Rattus norvegicus: one gene and its partners. The protein of the gene in region 2 purifies or fractionates together with the protein of the main gene of each other region. This does not show direct contact. Links are inferred from orthologs where the notes say so. Each region holds a gene or a part of one and is shown on either strand. Other genes may lie near its edges.

Evidence for each region.
Region 1: the proteins of Psme1 (region 2) and Psma5 purify together in Homo sapiens (co-immunoprecipitation; 5 studies listed by BioGRID and IntAct, with this or other methods). This does not show direct contact. The link is inferred for Rattus norvegicus from reciprocal best matches to the Homo sapiens genes PSME1 and PSMA5.
Region 3: the proteins of Psme1 (region 2) and Psmb10 purify together in Homo sapiens (affinity purification with western blotting; 3 studies listed by BioGRID and IntAct, with this or other methods). This does not show direct contact. The link is inferred for Rattus norvegicus from reciprocal best matches to the Homo sapiens genes PSME1 and PSMB10.

Annotation. Positions count from the first base shown.
Region 1 is NC_086020.1:198,582,782-198,588,044, forward strand, and holds the start of Psma5 (proteasome subunit alpha type-5), read left to right. Parts: upstream 1-1,723; 5' UTR 1,724-1,850; coding exon 1,851-1,879; intron 1,880-5,263. UniProt on the Homo sapiens protein: Component of the 20S core proteasome complex involved in the proteolytic degradation of most intracellular proteins. This complex plays numerous essential roles within the cell by associating with different regulatory particles.
Region 2 is NC_086033.1:33,037,477-33,042,494, forward strand, and holds Psme1 (proteasome activator complex subunit 1), read left to right. Parts: upstream 1-1,494; 5' UTR 1,495-1,602; coding exon 1,603-1,641; intron 1,642-2,414; coding exon 2,415-2,447; intron 2,448-2,590; coding exon 2,591-2,653; intron 2,654-2,746; coding exon 2,747-2,857; intron 2,858-2,933; coding exon 2,934-2,979; intron 2,980-3,099; coding exon 3,100-3,197; intron 3,198-3,424; coding exon 3,425-3,493; intron 3,494-3,576; coding exon 3,577-3,644; intron 3,645-3,750; coding exon 3,751-3,805; intron 3,806-3,884; coding exon 3,885-3,971; coding exon of another isoform or gene 3,972-4,061; exon of another isoform or gene 4,062-4,148; coding exon 4,149-4,229; 3' UTR 4,230-4,371; downstream 4,372-5,018. Other genes in the region: Emc9 (ER membrane protein complex subunit 9), read right to left, coding at 4,408-4,588, 4,733-4,827, 4,908-4,977. UniProt on the Homo sapiens protein: Implicated in immunoproteasome assembly and required for efficient antigen processing. The PA28 activator complex enhances the generation of class I binding peptides by altering the cleavage pattern of the proteasome.
Region 3 is NC_086037.1:50,739,753-50,744,924, forward strand, and holds Psmb10 (proteasome subunit beta type-10), read right to left. Parts: upstream 3,541-5,172; 5' UTR 3,427-3,540; coding exon 3,371-3,426; intron 3,172-3,370; coding exon 3,084-3,171; intron 2,998-3,083; coding exon 2,900-2,997; intron 2,788-2,899; coding exon 2,647-2,787; intron 2,389-2,646; coding exon 2,273-2,388; intron 2,166-2,272; coding exon 2,107-2,165; intron 1,537-2,106; coding exon 1,385-1,536; intron 1,231-1,384; coding exon 1,119-1,230; 3' UTR 1,056-1,118; downstream 1-1,055. Other genes in the region: Lcat (phosphatidylcholine-sterol acyltransferase precursor), read right to left, coding at 4,867-5,172. UniProt on the Homo sapiens protein: The proteasome is a multicatalytic proteinase complex which is characterized by its ability to cleave peptides with Arg, Phe, Tyr, Leu, and Glu adjacent to the leaving group at neutral or slightly basic pH.

The sequences.
Region 1 (5,263 bases), on a different chromosome or scaffold from region 2:
ATGGTTCCAAGCCAGCATAGGCTAGAAGTAAGTACTTGCACTAAAAACAAAACCAAGAACTAGATTTCCCCTTCAGATAAATATGGCCCATTACCCGACTTCTTCCTCCACCCTATGCATTCCCCTTCATGAAGGTGTAATTGACAAACAGCAGTTGCTTACATTTACAATATAAAAAGTGATGTTTAAAAAATTATTTCTGAGACAGGGTCTCTCTACAGAGCCCTGGCTGACATGGAACTCACTAAGCATACCAGGCTGGTCTTGAACTCAGAAAGATCTCCTGCCTCTGCCTCCTGAGTGCTGGGATTAAAGGCACTATCACACCCAACCCAGAATGATATTTTTTAAAAAGACTTTTAAGTGTGTGTGTGTGTGTGTGTGTGTGTGTGTGTGAAGTGTGACACATATATAGGTGCCAGCAGAGGCCAGAAAAAGGCAGTGGAGGATCCCCTACAGCTAGAATAAAAGGTGGTTATGAGGAGCCTGACCAGGATGCTGAGAACTGAATTTGGGCATCTAAAAGGGCACCAGGTGCTCTCAATTGCTAAACTATCTCTCCAGCCACCAGAATTATGTTTTGATGTATGTATATATCATGATTAAATTAACTTTCAATACCTCTTGCCTTTTTGGGTAGTGATTAAAATCTACCTTCCTAGAAAAATTTCAAGTGTAAGATATTATTAACACTAGTCATCCTGGTGTATATATATCTCCACTTACCTGAAACTTTGTACTCTGACCGTCCTATATACCCCACACCTGCCAAGACTGTGCAGAGGTTTATACCGGTTACATTCCTAGAGAGTCACTTCTTAACCTCCTATCTTTCTTTGATACATGATTCATTTACGATGTTTCTAAAAAGCTCTCAAGTTGCTCTTCTACCCTTAGGAAGAGGAAACAGGAAGCACATACAAAAAAGAAGGTACTTATTCTTCTTGAAAAAACAGTGGCTAATCTAAATCTCGGGGCCTGAACTCTGGGTCTTCGGGTCTCAAACTTGGATAGCTACGGTGGTAGTGGTGGTATGTGTATGTATGTATCCAGGAAAGACGTGGTAAAATAATCTTACCTATGCAGGAAATTGAAAAACGTTCTTGCAGATTAGAACCTATCAATTTTTTTTTTTGTTGTTGTTCTTTTTTTCGGAGCTGGGGACCGAACCCAGGGCCTTGCGCTTCCTAGGTAAGCGCTCTACCACTGAGCTAAATCCCCAGCCCCCGAACCTATCAATTTTTAAAACTTTTTTTCAATCAGCCCGGTTGACAGAATCGCGGGGCACGCTGGTCCAGACTGCACTGAGGCGCACACATCTCTACCTAAGTCAAAAAGTCCTCAGCAAAGCTGGTTCCGGTTGCCACAGAGCCGGGAAGACAGCGAAGAGTTGGGCAAGTGAACGCGGAGTAAGAGACTGGTGTCCCTCGGCTGCAATCACGCGAGTCGGCGAGACTTACGTCACGATCCCTACAACCAACTACCAGTCCCAGTCTTGCAGCAGTTCAAAACGCGACGAGCGCACACCTCTGCGAGGTTCACTCCCACCAGTTGCCTCAAGTCCCAGCGCCCGTAGCAACCAAGGGTGCCGGGAAGCGGAAGTGCATTCTAATTCCGCCCTCCCAGTTAATCCAGGTGAGGAAGCTTGTCAGCCCAATCATTGCAGCGAAAATATCTATCAGCCAATAGAACGGAGACACGGGAGGGCGGGCTAAAAAGGTCGCGTGCGCACGCGCAGAGGGCCGCAGGATCCTTGGTGCTGTGGCGGTGTGGTTGAGTAGGGTGCTGCTTTCAGTCGTGTGGCCTTTGGGAACTCCGCGTAGCCACTGCCGCCTCCTCCTGTCCTCGCCATGTTCCTCACTCGGTCCGAGTACGACAGGTTCGTACAGCGAGAAGCAGCAGGGTCGAGATTTGGGTGGGCGGGCCTGGGCCCGGGCCGCGGCCTGGGTTCTGCAGTGTCATGGGGCACCCGGGTAACCTAAGTCTGGCGGGACCCGGGGAATCTGGCTCCCGAGGCGCCCGGCGAGATTGCCCAAGCTAGACTGGAGCGGACCCGTTGCACTTGTGCTACCGCTGAATCACCGCTACTTTTGACTCCGCACGGAAGCGAGAAGCTGGGGCTGCTTGAGGCAGGCGGCGGAGAGGGGTCCGGACTCCAACCTTTAACCTGAAGTAGATTAGGGACTCACCAGCCTTGTGTTCGTCTTTTCAGCCTAAGTATGACTGCTTAAAAGAATAATGAAATGAGTTTCCTCGAATAGAAAGCTACCAGAGACTATTGAATGAGTTTGTAGGAATCCGTGCTATGCTGTACATTTTAGTCTTTTTTTAAAGCGCGAAGGCAGTTACAGCTATTATCTGATACATTGCCTGAAGTCTGGTTTTATAGGAACTAGAATGTATAGTAGTTCTCAGAAGAGTTTTAATATGCTGATCCCATTTGACCAAAGAGGGGGAAAAATTGAGAGCAAGTTAATTTTTGTGTTGTGTTGAAGGCTAAATGTTTTGTAAAGGCAAAGCTTTGTGGTTGTGTTTATTTAAAAAAAACAACCTAAAAATCAAGTCTTGAAAATGCTAACTAATAACTGTCATAAATGCTGTGGATACTGTAACTTTCAGTTTCTGTTTTGAGTAGTTTTGCAAGCCGCTGAGTTCCTTTAAAAGTTAGGGAAGGCAGACTTTTTTTTTTTCCAGGTGGTATGAGAAATCACTTTTCTTGGCAAGTATATATCGAGGCTGTCAAAATTGTGGCACCTGGAATGCCATTTTTTAACCTTTTGCTGACTCAGAAAATACAGTTGAAGTTTTAAAACTATTTCCTGTTGTCAAGTAAAATGGTCGTTAACACTTGGCTTCCAGAGCATTGAAGGGAGTCATCTTTAGGTGATAAAATTTTGAGAAAATCGTGATCCTCACCCGAAGGGCTTTATTGAGCTTTGCCCATTTATTTATATGTATTAGTTGCTTTGTGGATTTTTTTTCTTTTGTATCTGCCAAGACTAAAGTTCAGGCCTCTATTTATCCAATGTTCTTGATCTTTCGCTCAGTACAAGGAGCATTGTTTAGGGAGCTGGTTTTACAGCAGTGAGCAGAACCAAGATTCCTGCTCTCCTGTTTGCTTGTGTAACTAATACGAGACAGAAGTGTATTGATGTTACTAGAGGAATCTTAGGCCAGCAACTGGATGTTCTGATGAGAGGTTGCATTCATCGTTGGAGGTTGGGGAAAACTTCACAAAGAGGCTGATAATTCAGATAGGCCCAGAGCAAGTAGGATTTTTAGTAAACCAAGACCACGAGACCCAACAGATAGTAAAGGAAGAACAAAGGAGGACCAGTGGAAAGACATAACACACATTTGAAAAACGTCCAGGCTGACTACCACATTTGTATGATGCATATAATGGGACTAGTAGGTGCTATGGAAAAACCAGGATACTGACAGCTCGGATAGACTGTTAAGAATTTGGATCTCACTCTGTAGGCAACTGTGTGCCATCAGTTTTCTTTTTCTTTTTGGCCTTTTTTGGGGGTTGGGGAGACGTCCATGTACATGCCTGGTGTCCTTTGAGGCCAGAGGGTGTTGGATCTCTTAGAGCCGGAATAACAGGTGGGTTTTCGCCACTATGTAAGTGCTGGGAATCAAACCAGCATCTTCTTCTGAAGAGCCCCTAGTGCTCTTAACTGCTCTCCCAGCTCACTAGCTCTCTTTTTTTGGTCTTTTTTTTTTTCCTTTTTTTTTTCTTTCTTCTTAAAAAGACAGGGTATCTCTATAGCCCAGGGTGACCTAGAGCTAACTGGCCCACCCAGTCTGGCCTTGAATTTGTGAGGATCCTTTCTGCCTGATTGATTGTTCTGAGTTCTGGAGTTAACACTCATGAGCCACTGTGTCAGACTCTAGTGTTTCCTTTTAAGAAGTTACCTCATCACACTTGTTTTTATAAAGATTAATTGATTGGAAGAACAAGTTGGCTTCCTTTAAGAGGCTTTTACAATAGTTAGGTAAAGGGTAACGAGGCCGTAGGGATGGAAGTGATGGTACCATGGAGGAGGAGCATATGAGTTAGTATGACTTAGCATGTGGTAGGATAAAGGAGATGGCAGGGAGAAGTGAGTCATCATTCAGAACATTCTGTTATGGAGGAACTCAGAAGCTGTGGGTGTCTTAAAATAATGGGAATGGTATAGGTGAGTTGATTTTACAGAGTGACTAGATTTAAAAGGTACTGTTTAAGACTGGAAAATGTTGAATGATGGTTGTAATTGGGCTATTCAAGAGGAATTGTTTCAAATTTAGATTAATTAGGTAAAAGGCAAACTGGAACTAGAAATTTAGAATGACTGGTTTTAGTTTCTATGCAACATCTCAAGTAAGCAATGAAATTTGGGAGGATGAAGACAGAGCTTACTAGGATGGTACTTCCAAATCAGGGTACAAAAAAATTAGTCACATAAGTTTATAGGGTTCTTTCACTTTTCTGTAGTTTACTTAAATTGTCATAAAGGCAAGGACAATTTCTTATTTTTCCTCAAAGCTAGTGATAAACCTGGTTCTCAATCTCAGGATGGGTCAGTTTTAGTGCGTGTGTGCGTGGTGTGTGTGTATGTGTAACCTGGGGCTTATATGCAGTGGGCAAGAGCCAGAGCTCTACAACTGAACTGGTCCCCAGCTCAATCTGAGATTTTCTGACCGCAGTTTTCCTTTCACTGAGTTTGTCAGCTGTGCTTTAGAACCTTGAACTTCCTTCTGGATGGCTTTAGTGATCTGTTGGTTGAGGAGGGCATGAGGAACTGGATGGTGAGAATAATTCTCAGACTGTGAAGTAGAATAGTTGAAAGCTTTGTCTACATAGGCTTTCTTGAACTGATTCTGCTTCTGTTTTGCTAAGTAACTTTGAACTATTTATTTGATATCTCTCACACATACAATCTCTTTTGAAGAAAGTTTTGGTTAAACAAAATTTGAAAACAGTGGTATATGCATACTGTTGTGAGGTTTAGAGTTCATGAACTAAGGATTACAGGTATTTATATTCATTTATCCAGAAACATTTTTTAAATTGTAATTGTGTGCTGAAAGCTTCTGTAGCTAATAGTGAGTTTGTCTCTGCAGGGATCAGCAACACAGTACTAGTGCAAACGAGAGGAGCATTGATTCAGTTAGTAGAGTAGTCTGGCATAACTGTATAGGCTTTAGTAACTGTGGCTCTCAGTATGCTGTTAATGTAATAATACTATCTCATACAAATAGGAGAAAAATGTAC
Region 2 (5,018 bases):
TGAAAATTTTATTTTTTATGTGTGAGGTGGGTGTTTTGACTGCCTGCATGCCTCTTCACCACATGCATATAGTGCCCGTGGAGGCCAGAAGAAGGCCTTGGATCCCCTAGAAGTGGAGTTACAGGCAACTGTGAGCCGTCACGTGAGTGCTAAGAACTGAACAGAGGTCCTCTGGAAGAGCAGCCAGGGCTCTCTTAACCATTGAGCATATATTTTTTTTTTTTTTTTGGTTCTTTTTTTCGGAGCTGGGGACCGAACCCAGGGCCTTGCGCTTCCTAGGTAAGCACTCTACCACTGAGCTAAATCCCCAGCCCCCATTGAGCATATTTTAATGTTGAACAAAAAGCCAGGTATGATGGGGCAGGCCTTTTATCCCCGCACTGGGGAGACAGGTGAAAGAGGCAGGCAGTTTCTGTGAGTTCGAGGCTAACCTAATCTCTACAGCTGTGAGTTCCAGGACAGCCAGGGCTACTAAGAGAAACCTTGTCTCGAAAAACAAAAACAAAAGTTGAAAAAATAATTCTGGATGTGTGAACATTACATGAAACTCAAACTCTCGAGTCCATCAGTTAAGTTTTATTGAAACTCACTCGCACTAATTAGTTTCTTGGCTGCTTTCCTTTCAGCGCAGTTAACACTACACACATATTAACACTTCCCCAAACTAAATAGCTGTCATAAACCCTTGCCGAAAGTTTGTCTGGCTCCTGTTTAGACCACTGTATTATCCTGTCTCAAAAGTAAAACAAACAAGCAAACAACAACAAATGGCTAGTATCAGAGTCGCAGGTGCCATGGAGGTACTGAAACAGGTAATAAACTGCAGGGGGAAGGTACTTTCTGAAGAACGATGGCGGAACATTCCCTCTGAAAAATTGACATCGAAGCTGAGGACTGAGTGAGGACGTTGAGGGGAAAGAGTGTTGCAGGTTTCCCAAGGGCAGAGAGTCCTTGACGCGGGAATAAACACTACCTATAAGTTTCTGCTTGTGTAATGGATGAATGTGCAAAGCAATGGACTTGAAGTGGACGGCGATGATTGTGAAAGAAAAAGTCTTTATAGATTTTATCACAGAGGCCTGAATCCCTGCTGTGGGGGCGTGGTTTATAGGGGAATAGAGGGCGCTACAAAGGCTTTGTGCTCAACCTATTGAGTCTCCCGTAAGGATGGTGCGGGCGCCTCAGCGTAGCGGTCTGGTGGGCGGGAGTTTGTTGGTGAAGGCAGGGGACCACGCCGGGAAGACCAGATCTTACCCCAGATCATTAAAGATTTTAAACCCCCATGTAAGGCTTATTATCGCCTGGCCCTAGCAGAAGTAGCGGGTGCCGGGAAATGGGAGCCGAGTGTGGGAAGGGGCAGGGGTACTGGAGCTGGCTGGGAGGCGGGTGTGGCTGCGGAGCAGAGAGACCCGGGCGCCGGGCGGAAACGCTACTCGGGCTGCTGGAGGAGCCCCCGCCTCTCAGTAGGCTGTCCCCGCCTCCTCCAGTCCCTCCACTCCCCAAACCCAGGAAGGCGGTGCAGGTTTCGAGCTGTGCTTTCGCTTTCCCTTCCCGCTGCCCACCCCAGGCTCCGCGTGCGGCGTTCAGCCCCCGGCTCTGGCCATGGCTACACTGAGGGTCCATCCTGAAGCCCAAGCCAAGGTGAGCGTTGCGGGTTCGAGTGGGGACGAGAGGCTTTAGAGAGGCGTGGCTCAGAACGAACCAGAGTTCTAGGGAAATCGATCCACAGACCCCCACTCCCACCCCTACCCCCCCGCACCTGAGTTGGGGGTCCTGCTCCTTAGCCTACTGCCAGAAGCACCTGATCCCCTGGGAGTAGGTGAGGTGGCCGTGGTCCAGTGGGGTGAAGTGAAGCCTAGAGCTAGTGTGAAGTCTGCTGGCTTGCAGCCAGGGCTACACGCACAAACCTGGAGAGGGACTTGCCCTTGCCAACTCAGACTTTCCCTCAGAAAGGGCACACACCGGCACCCTCTCTGCCTACTGTCTGGTGGTTCTGTTTTGTTTGAGACGGGCTGTGTATTATGTAGCTCTGGCTTTCCTGAAATTGGATATGTAGATCCGACTGGCCTTGAACTCCCAGAGATCCACCTGTCTGTACCTCTGGAGTGCACGCCTGGCCAGAGGGCTTTCTTATCACTCCTTGCACAACCATGGTGGCCCCAGAAATGTTATTATCTCCAAATTCAGCCCCCTTGGGGATCCACTGAACTCTCCCCAGATTCCGGTATGCCTAAAACTACCATACCACCTCAAGCCACCATATATAGGGACCCATTTAGCTTTCTTCAGGTGTGGCCTTAGAGGGCTCCATTCCTCTATTCCCCAGGTCAGGCCCTACACCTAAAGGGAACTGTCCTCAAAAGAACTGGCCTTAAAGCTAGGTTTCTGAAGGGTTGCCTGCCTGTACTCTACAGGTGGATGTGTTTCGTGAGGACCTGTGTAGTAAGGTAAGACCTACAACATCGGGAACCCCACCTCCACCCAGCACCTACGACTCTGGCCTCCCTCGCTGGGCGCTGTGACCCCTTACTTCAGTGCCTTGGAAAGGGTGTTTGCTTCTGACCCTATCCTCCTCCACTGCCTTACACAGACAGAGAACCTGCTTGGGAGCTATTTTCCCAAGAAGATCTCAGAGTTGGATGCCTTCTTAAAGGTAGTGGGGCCCCCGGCAAAGACTCAAGAGGATCCCGGGGGTGGGGGTGGGGTGAGATGAGGGGAATGCACTCATCTCCCGCCCCACTGCCAGGAGCCAGCTCTCAACGAAGCCAACCTGAGCAATCTGAAGGCTCCATTGGACATCCCAGTCCCTGATCCCGTCAAGGAGAAAGAGAAGGAGGAGCGGAAGAAGCAACAGGAGGCAAGCTGGCTGGGACACCTGGGAGGTGGGCCAGCCAGAGAGAAAATCAGCCTCAGTCCTGTCTTCCTCCCCACAGAAGGAAGAGAAGGACGAAAAGAAGAAAGGGGACGAAGACGACAAAGGTACTAGAACCGATGGGCTGGGAAGAGACTGGTGTCTCAGGACTTCCAAACTGCCTTCTACTTTCCCCTTTCCAAATCTTACACACTCCGTCATTCACTGACCCACTGCGCACTCTCCAGGTCCTCCCTGTGGTCCAGTGAACTGCAATGAGAAGATTGTGGTCCTCCTGCAACGCCTAAAGCCCGAGATCAAGGATGTCATTGAGCAACTCAACCTGGTGAGCTCTTCCACCCTCAACTCTGCTCCAGGCATTGTCCTCTTGGTCCCTGCCAGTTATTTCATGGCAAAGCAGGTGGCCCAGACTGGGGCTCAGCAAGGACCTGGCATCCCACCATCCGCTTGTGGGCAGACAAGGGAAGACTAGGAACCTGGGAATTAGGGTACGTATACGGAGGGGAGGGAAGGACATGGTGATAAAGCCATGATGCATTCCTTTGCTCCAAGGTTACTACCTGGTTGCAGCTACAGATACCTCGGATAGAGGATGGGAATAATTTTGGCGTGGCTGTCCAGGTGAGAGCACTGTCCCCCTCAGTCCTCAGCCCCCCTGTGCAGCCAGCCCGTGCTTCCTCCCAACTCTGCACTTTCCTTCTCAGGAAAAGGTGTTTGAGCTGATGACCAGCCTTCATACCAAGCTGGAAGGCTTCCAAACGCAGATCTCTAAGTGAGTGGCCTCGCTCAGTATACAGCCAGCACACTCTGCTTTGGGCACAGGCCTGGGCTCCCTCCGTCTCTCCCCACTCTTTACAAACTACTTCCACTTCCCACAGGTACTTCTCCGAGAGGGGTGATGCCGTGGCCAAAGCAGCCAAGCAGCCTCATGTGGTAGGTAAAGCCCAGGTCAGGCTGTGTCAGGGAAGACAATACGATTTCCAGTCAGGACTAACTCTTAGAGTTTCTGCAGGGTGATTATCGGCAGCTGGTGCATGAGCTGGACGAGGCGGAATACCAGGAGATCCGGCTGATGGTCATGGAGATCCGTAACGCTTATGTGAGGAGGGGAGAAGAGGGCAGGGGTGGGCAGAAGCACTTTTCCCAGGCCATCCAATTTCTGACCAAGCCAATGTGGGGTGGAGGATGACTTAAGAACAGCCTTTCCAAAGGTAGAGATGGGATACAGAACTACTGGGGGCCTGCGGCTGACCTCCCCTACTCTGTGATCCTATAGGCTGTGTTATATGACATCATCCTGAAGAACTTTGAGAAGCTCAAGAAGCCCCGTGGAGAGACAAAGGGGATGATCTATTGAGCCCCCTCTCTCGTTCTATGATGGGTATAACAGAAACCTTCCTACTCTTGACTAGGAACTCTAGACTGCACCCAGTCTTCTTCCTGCTGGGGTCTCCTCCCTCACTCTGCCTTCCAAACACAATAAATACATAGTTGCCCACCAGCCCACGTCTTTATTGTATTTGGACCCCTCTGGCTTAGGCATGTCCATCGGTGGAACCACTCCATTGAGTGATTTGAGTGTTGAGCCGCTGGTTGGTCCAGTCCTGCCGAATGTCATCAAGGTGGCAGTCAAAGTCCACAAGATGCTGGTGGGCCCGGCCCTCCAGCAGTGCTCCCACCATCTGCCGTGACTCCTCCCAATCTCTCCACATCACTCTGAAATTTAAAACACGGATGTCAAACAGTGGGGCCAGACAGCGACTTAAAGATTGTGTCTGGAGAAGCCATAGGGCAGGACCAGGGACAAAGAAAGCCACAAGTCTTGGGCTTCCAAGGGACAAGAGGTAGGGGGGCACTCACAAGTTCTTGTCCTTAGGCACCCACTGAAGACCCTGGTTCTCCAGGACAATGACTGGAGGTACACGAGGCCAAGTTACCAGTTTCTTATTATCCAGCTGGGTGAACAAAAGGCGAGAGTCTTGAGGACCCTCTCCCACTCCCTCTCCACCTCCCCACTCTGAAGCCCCGGTCTCACCATAATAAGCACTGCGTTGGGGAAGAATTCTGCAATTCGCCCAGCGATTTTCAAGGCCAGAGGCCCAGGGCTGTTTGAGGGAAGATGAGAGGAGTGAGCAGCCAGCCGAGG
Region 3 (5,172 bases), on a different chromosome or scaffold from region 2:
ATATCAAAGAATTCGACAGGCTCAAGAATACCTCAGTCTAACATGTGAAACAGGAAATGGATGAATAAAGGAATGGACAGACACAAGATCAGGTATGACAAAATATGAAGGCTGGTGGACATAGGGATGTTTACTGACAAGTCCTTTAGCTTGTTTACTATCGTATATACAAATTCTCATGATAAAGTCTTAGGGGGACCATACAACCAGGGGTCAAGGGTGTCCAGCCTGGAGGTCAACCTCTCTAGAAAATGTGCCTTATCAGCTCTGAAGCCCCAGTGGAGCTTAGCTACCGTGAGGGCAGGATGCTCCTACCAGCACCCAGAGGGCCTGGCACTCAGTGAAGAAACCTTGCCAGGCAACCTTAGCAAAGGCCTCTTACTTAGCTGTGTCATCTTTCCCTATGAGTCCACAACCACCCCTTCCAGCCTAGAGAACTTGGGAGTCAATCTCCCTACTCACAGTCCCACATGTGCGGACAAGGCCCAGCCTTCCACAGGCTCACACATGTTTGGTCATAAAGAGGGGAACTGTAGGTGGTAAAGGGCACTTGGTGAGAACTTGCCCGTGGAGTCAGGAAGCAGTTGCTCTATTAGCATTTTAGCCTCCTAAGGACCCAGGGTAGACGGTGGACATAGGTGTTTATTGACAAGACAGGGAAAGTTTGGGGTTGGGGATTTAGCTCAGTGGTAGAGCACTTGCCTAGGAAGCGCAAGGCCCTGGGTTCGATCCCCAGCTCCGGAAAAAAAAGAACCAAAAAAAAAAAAAAAAAAAAGACAGGAAAGTTTAACAGTGGGGGTCGTCTGTCCGTGCCTTCCAAGACGGGACTTGTGGGGTAAGCTTCCACCATGTGGAACTATGGTTTGGGGATGACAGGATATAGCTTTGTACTCCAAAGCTTGTAGTGCCTGCTAGGGCTGGGATTCTGCATGGATTGATCTCTGAGATGGCGATGAAGAGCAGCTCAGGCCAGGAACTGAGAATGAAGTCCTGAGAGGGATTCCTCAGCCTCAAAGCTGGCTTGTCCCACTCCTCTCAAGAAAGACAGTCTTCTGTTTAAGTGTTTGTATCTCCTGGATTTATTCACCCTTGTTCCAAACTCTACATCTTAGGCCACTTTACTCCACCTCCATAGCCTGCACAGTTTCCTCCAGAAGTTCCAGGGTCAGAGCTCTCACTTCCTGGGTCTGGACAGGTGTGGTTCCAGGAGCAAAGCGGTACTGGCCAGCTCTAGAAGGGAGGAGGGCCAGCCTTTTAGATCGCAGCCTGTTCTGTTCTGGCAGACCGACCGACCGACAGACAGCAGACACACACACACACACACACACACACACACACACACACACACACACACACACACGGCCCTCCCTTCCCTTGCTCCTACCTCTGCACAGGCTCTATGGGTGAGCTCAAAGCTCTCTGCAGTTTGGCGCCTCCTGCAGTGATCACACAGGCATCCACACTGCCTCCAGAGCCTAGGTCACCCAGGATCCCTGCTGTGATGGCTTCCACCAACAGCTCTTGCGCGGCCTCCAGCTGTGGTAGTGGGAATGAGGTTGAATGGAATCTAGTGTTACCTCACTCTAACCTGGGGGCTTTCTTAAGCTCGAAGCCTAGACAAGTTGCTCTTTATGTAAGCTCAACATCCTTTCTCTTCCCTCCATTCAAAATTCCAGTCCCTTGGCTTCTGACCCCCTCTCCCGAAAGACTCTGTGCCCTCCACCCACTGTCCTCTGTACAAAATTCTCAGTGTCGCTTACACCTATAGCCTTCCTTCCAGCAGTCTGCCCACCCACTCTGTCGCGAGTTTCTCCGTGGGTCTTGGTTATCTCTGAAGCACAGTTACCCACTTCTATCCCACTCCAAAGTACAGATCTCAAACCTACTACAGAACCCCACTGGGCTCTTCAGTAATCTGCTGTGAGCTTCAGCTTCTCTCTGTGGCCTAAGCTTGGTTATTGACTGGACTTCACTTCTTCAACTTTACTCAGTTCCTACCCAGTAGTCACCTTTACCCCTACAAGCCTTCCTTGTTTCTATACTTGGCCAGGGTTTTTCCGGCACTCCCCGCCAGTGAGCGTGAAGTAATGGGCAGAAGTCGCTCACCGTCATGTTTGGCTGGAACCGGTCCTCCAACAGTGCCACGGCTGCATCCTGACCAGAGCCTGCAGGTGGAAAGGGGCATCTGAAGTCAGCTGCAGCTGCTGAGGTATAAACCTTGAAAGTAGGGTTGCAGGAGCAAGATTCATTTGAAAAAGGTGGAAGCGCTCACCAAGGGCAGTAAAAGGCAGACGGCTGTAGGAACCGTGTGGGTGCACGCTGTAGAGCTGCGGTCCGTTCAAATCAACCCCGCCCACGATCAATGATGCTCCCACGTGGCCTTGGTACCTGTGGAAGAGTGGGCATGGTTACTGTCAGCAGGAGCCAGACCCCGCCCATTATATTGCTTTTTGGTCTGAGTCCCACCCCTTCCTTTGGCCAGGCGGCCTACAATTGACGTCTCTTCCGGAACTCAGCTTGATGTCTTCTTCCGGTCTCCCTGCTGGTTGCATCCCGCTTTTTTTTTTTTTTCCGGTCTCACCTCCTGTCATCCCCACCCATCTGCAGATACCCCCTCTAAGGGTCGTCTTAGCCTCACTTCCTCACCGGAAGAGCGTCTGACGCAAGATACGGGTGACCGTGGCCACTCGAGGTTCACGGCCGGTGGACAGAGCATGTAGTTCCATTTTGGAAGCTGCCATCCGCGTGGTCATCTCAGTGTCCGCAGCTACTCCAGCCCCACAGCAGCTAAGGGAAAAAGGGATTATGGATGTGGACAGGAACTTGCAGGGACATAATTAGGCGTGAGCGACAGTGCAACTTATGTTTGAATATGGGGACTGGCCCGGTAGATACTGACTAGATTTTGGGGGCGATAAAGTGGATCTTCTCGCAGCTTTTATCCGCCACAACCGAATCGTTAGTAGCCCGCGTGTCCGCACCCAGGATGACTCCATCCTGCAGAGGTAGAGCCCAGCCTTAATGCCCACCTGATCTTCGCAGTGGCTGCCCTTCTAGCCCTCCAGCCCTATAACCCCGCTTACACGGAACACAAGTCCGGCGATGGTAGTCCCGGTCTTGCGTGCAAGAGGGACCCGAAGTCCCGGAAGGACGTGTTCCAAGGACGCATTCCTGGAAACATTGAGGTGGCTCTCATTTCAGTTATGAATCTAGGGAGGGTCCTTGAATCCGTCCCCGAATCCATGTCTACTTTCCTCATCTCCTGGGTTAAGCCTCTACTTGGTCACCCAACATAGGATAGGGTTCCCCCCACTCCACCAGTAAAACAAGGCACTAGCAGCTCGCGACTTGAATTCCACTTCCCCTTCACCTCTGGCAGTTCTCGAAAGAGAAGCCTCCTCTGTGTTCCACTGCCTGCTTCAGCATCTCCGGGCAGGAAGGCCAACTGAGATGCGGGGGTCTCGATGGGTGGATCAGATTTAAAAAGCAAAGTCAGAGCAGAGGCGTCTGTCGTGGCTTCTGTGGGGCTTTTCGGGTCGCTTCCTACTTTCGCTTTCACCCCCCACTTAGTTCAGAGGCTGCTTATGCTTTGTGCATCTTCTCTTTCACTTTCGCCTTTGCTTCTAGTCCCAGGTGGCTTGAGCCTGAGCCAGGCCTTCCACAGTGCGCCTTAGTCCCTCTGTCTCCATCTCATCTGACACCCCCGAGCACTGTAAGCACATGCGTATATTCAGGAAAAATACGCACACAGCCAACTCCTTAAAAATAAGTAGAAATCAAGCCTTTTGAGGCTTAACTATGTGTATGAGTGAATGTGGCATGTGCATGCCAGGGGCCCACTGAGATTGGAAGAGGGCATCAGATTCCCTGGAACTGAAGTTACAGATGGTTGTGAGTCACCATATGGGCATTGGGAACAAAACCTAGGTCCTCTCCAAGTGCAAGAAATGTTCTTAACTTCTGAGCTCTCAATCTCTCTAAAGTCCCAAATGAAACCTTCTTTAGATGAACGGTCATTCCTTCAGATCCTAAACTTTTTTTCAGCGTAGCTCAGTGTAGCCCTGTCTGTCTTGGAACAAGCTTGGTAGACAAGGTTAGCCTGGATGAAGAGATTAAAGGCATGTGTACCACCACCTGGCTCTAAACTTTTAAATTTTGTATGACTTATTTATATGTGTATTGGTGTTTTGCCTGTATGTCTGTGAGGGTGTCAGATCCCCTAAAGCTGGAGTTGCATACACTTTTGAGCGGCCATGTGGGTGCTGGTACTTGAACCATGGTCCTCTGGAAAAACAGCTTCTTTCAATGGATGCTGAGCTATCTCTCAGGCCCCTTTCATCTTTAGTGCTGAATCCAAGCTCTTACATTAACAATCCCAGCCCCAGCTGCCATATTTCAAATTCTATTTGTTTGTGTTTTTGAGACAGGGTCTCAGTGGTCCTGTCTGTCCTGGAACTATGTAGATCAGAGTAGCCTACACAGAGATCTGCCTGTCTCTGTCTCCCAAGTGCTGAGCTAAAGGCGTGCACCACCATACTCTATTTTTAAATTTCTGTATCCAACCAGAACTCAGAAGTTGGTTTCAAATCATATTTCTGTGTTCCCATTCCAACAGCTATACCCAGACCTGAATATTGGCACAGGTCCTGAGAAGGAAGGCACAGAGCAAGCTTCTTAGCAGCTCAACCAGGACAATGAAAATCTATTTACACATCTCACCCTGTCAGTCCAGTCAGAGACCTTACCAGAGCCCATTGTACCTCATGCTCCCCCAAGAGCTGGGTCAGATGATGCATGAAATCAGGCAGGTGAGGCCGCCTTCCCCTTACCCAGAACACACTGCACTTATTCATAACAGCTAAGTCTTTATTCCTTGGTGGGGGGACCTAGGCTGGCGGTTGGGGACTTAGGAGTGCCATGGCGGTAGGCACCCAGTAGGATAGCATTAATATGCTCCAGTGTCTTATTGCTGAAGACCATGTTGAGATGATCTGTCCCATTCATGGGCAGCAAGTGTACAGCCTGTGACTGGCGGCCCTGCCACTGGCCACAGAGCTCAGTGCTACGTGTGGCTACAGTGTCGTCCCCATCTTCATAGAGTGCAGCCACCGGGTCTTTGTAGGGAAAGTTGTGGTCATAGATGTAGGTGTGGGCTGTGGGCATGCCTACACC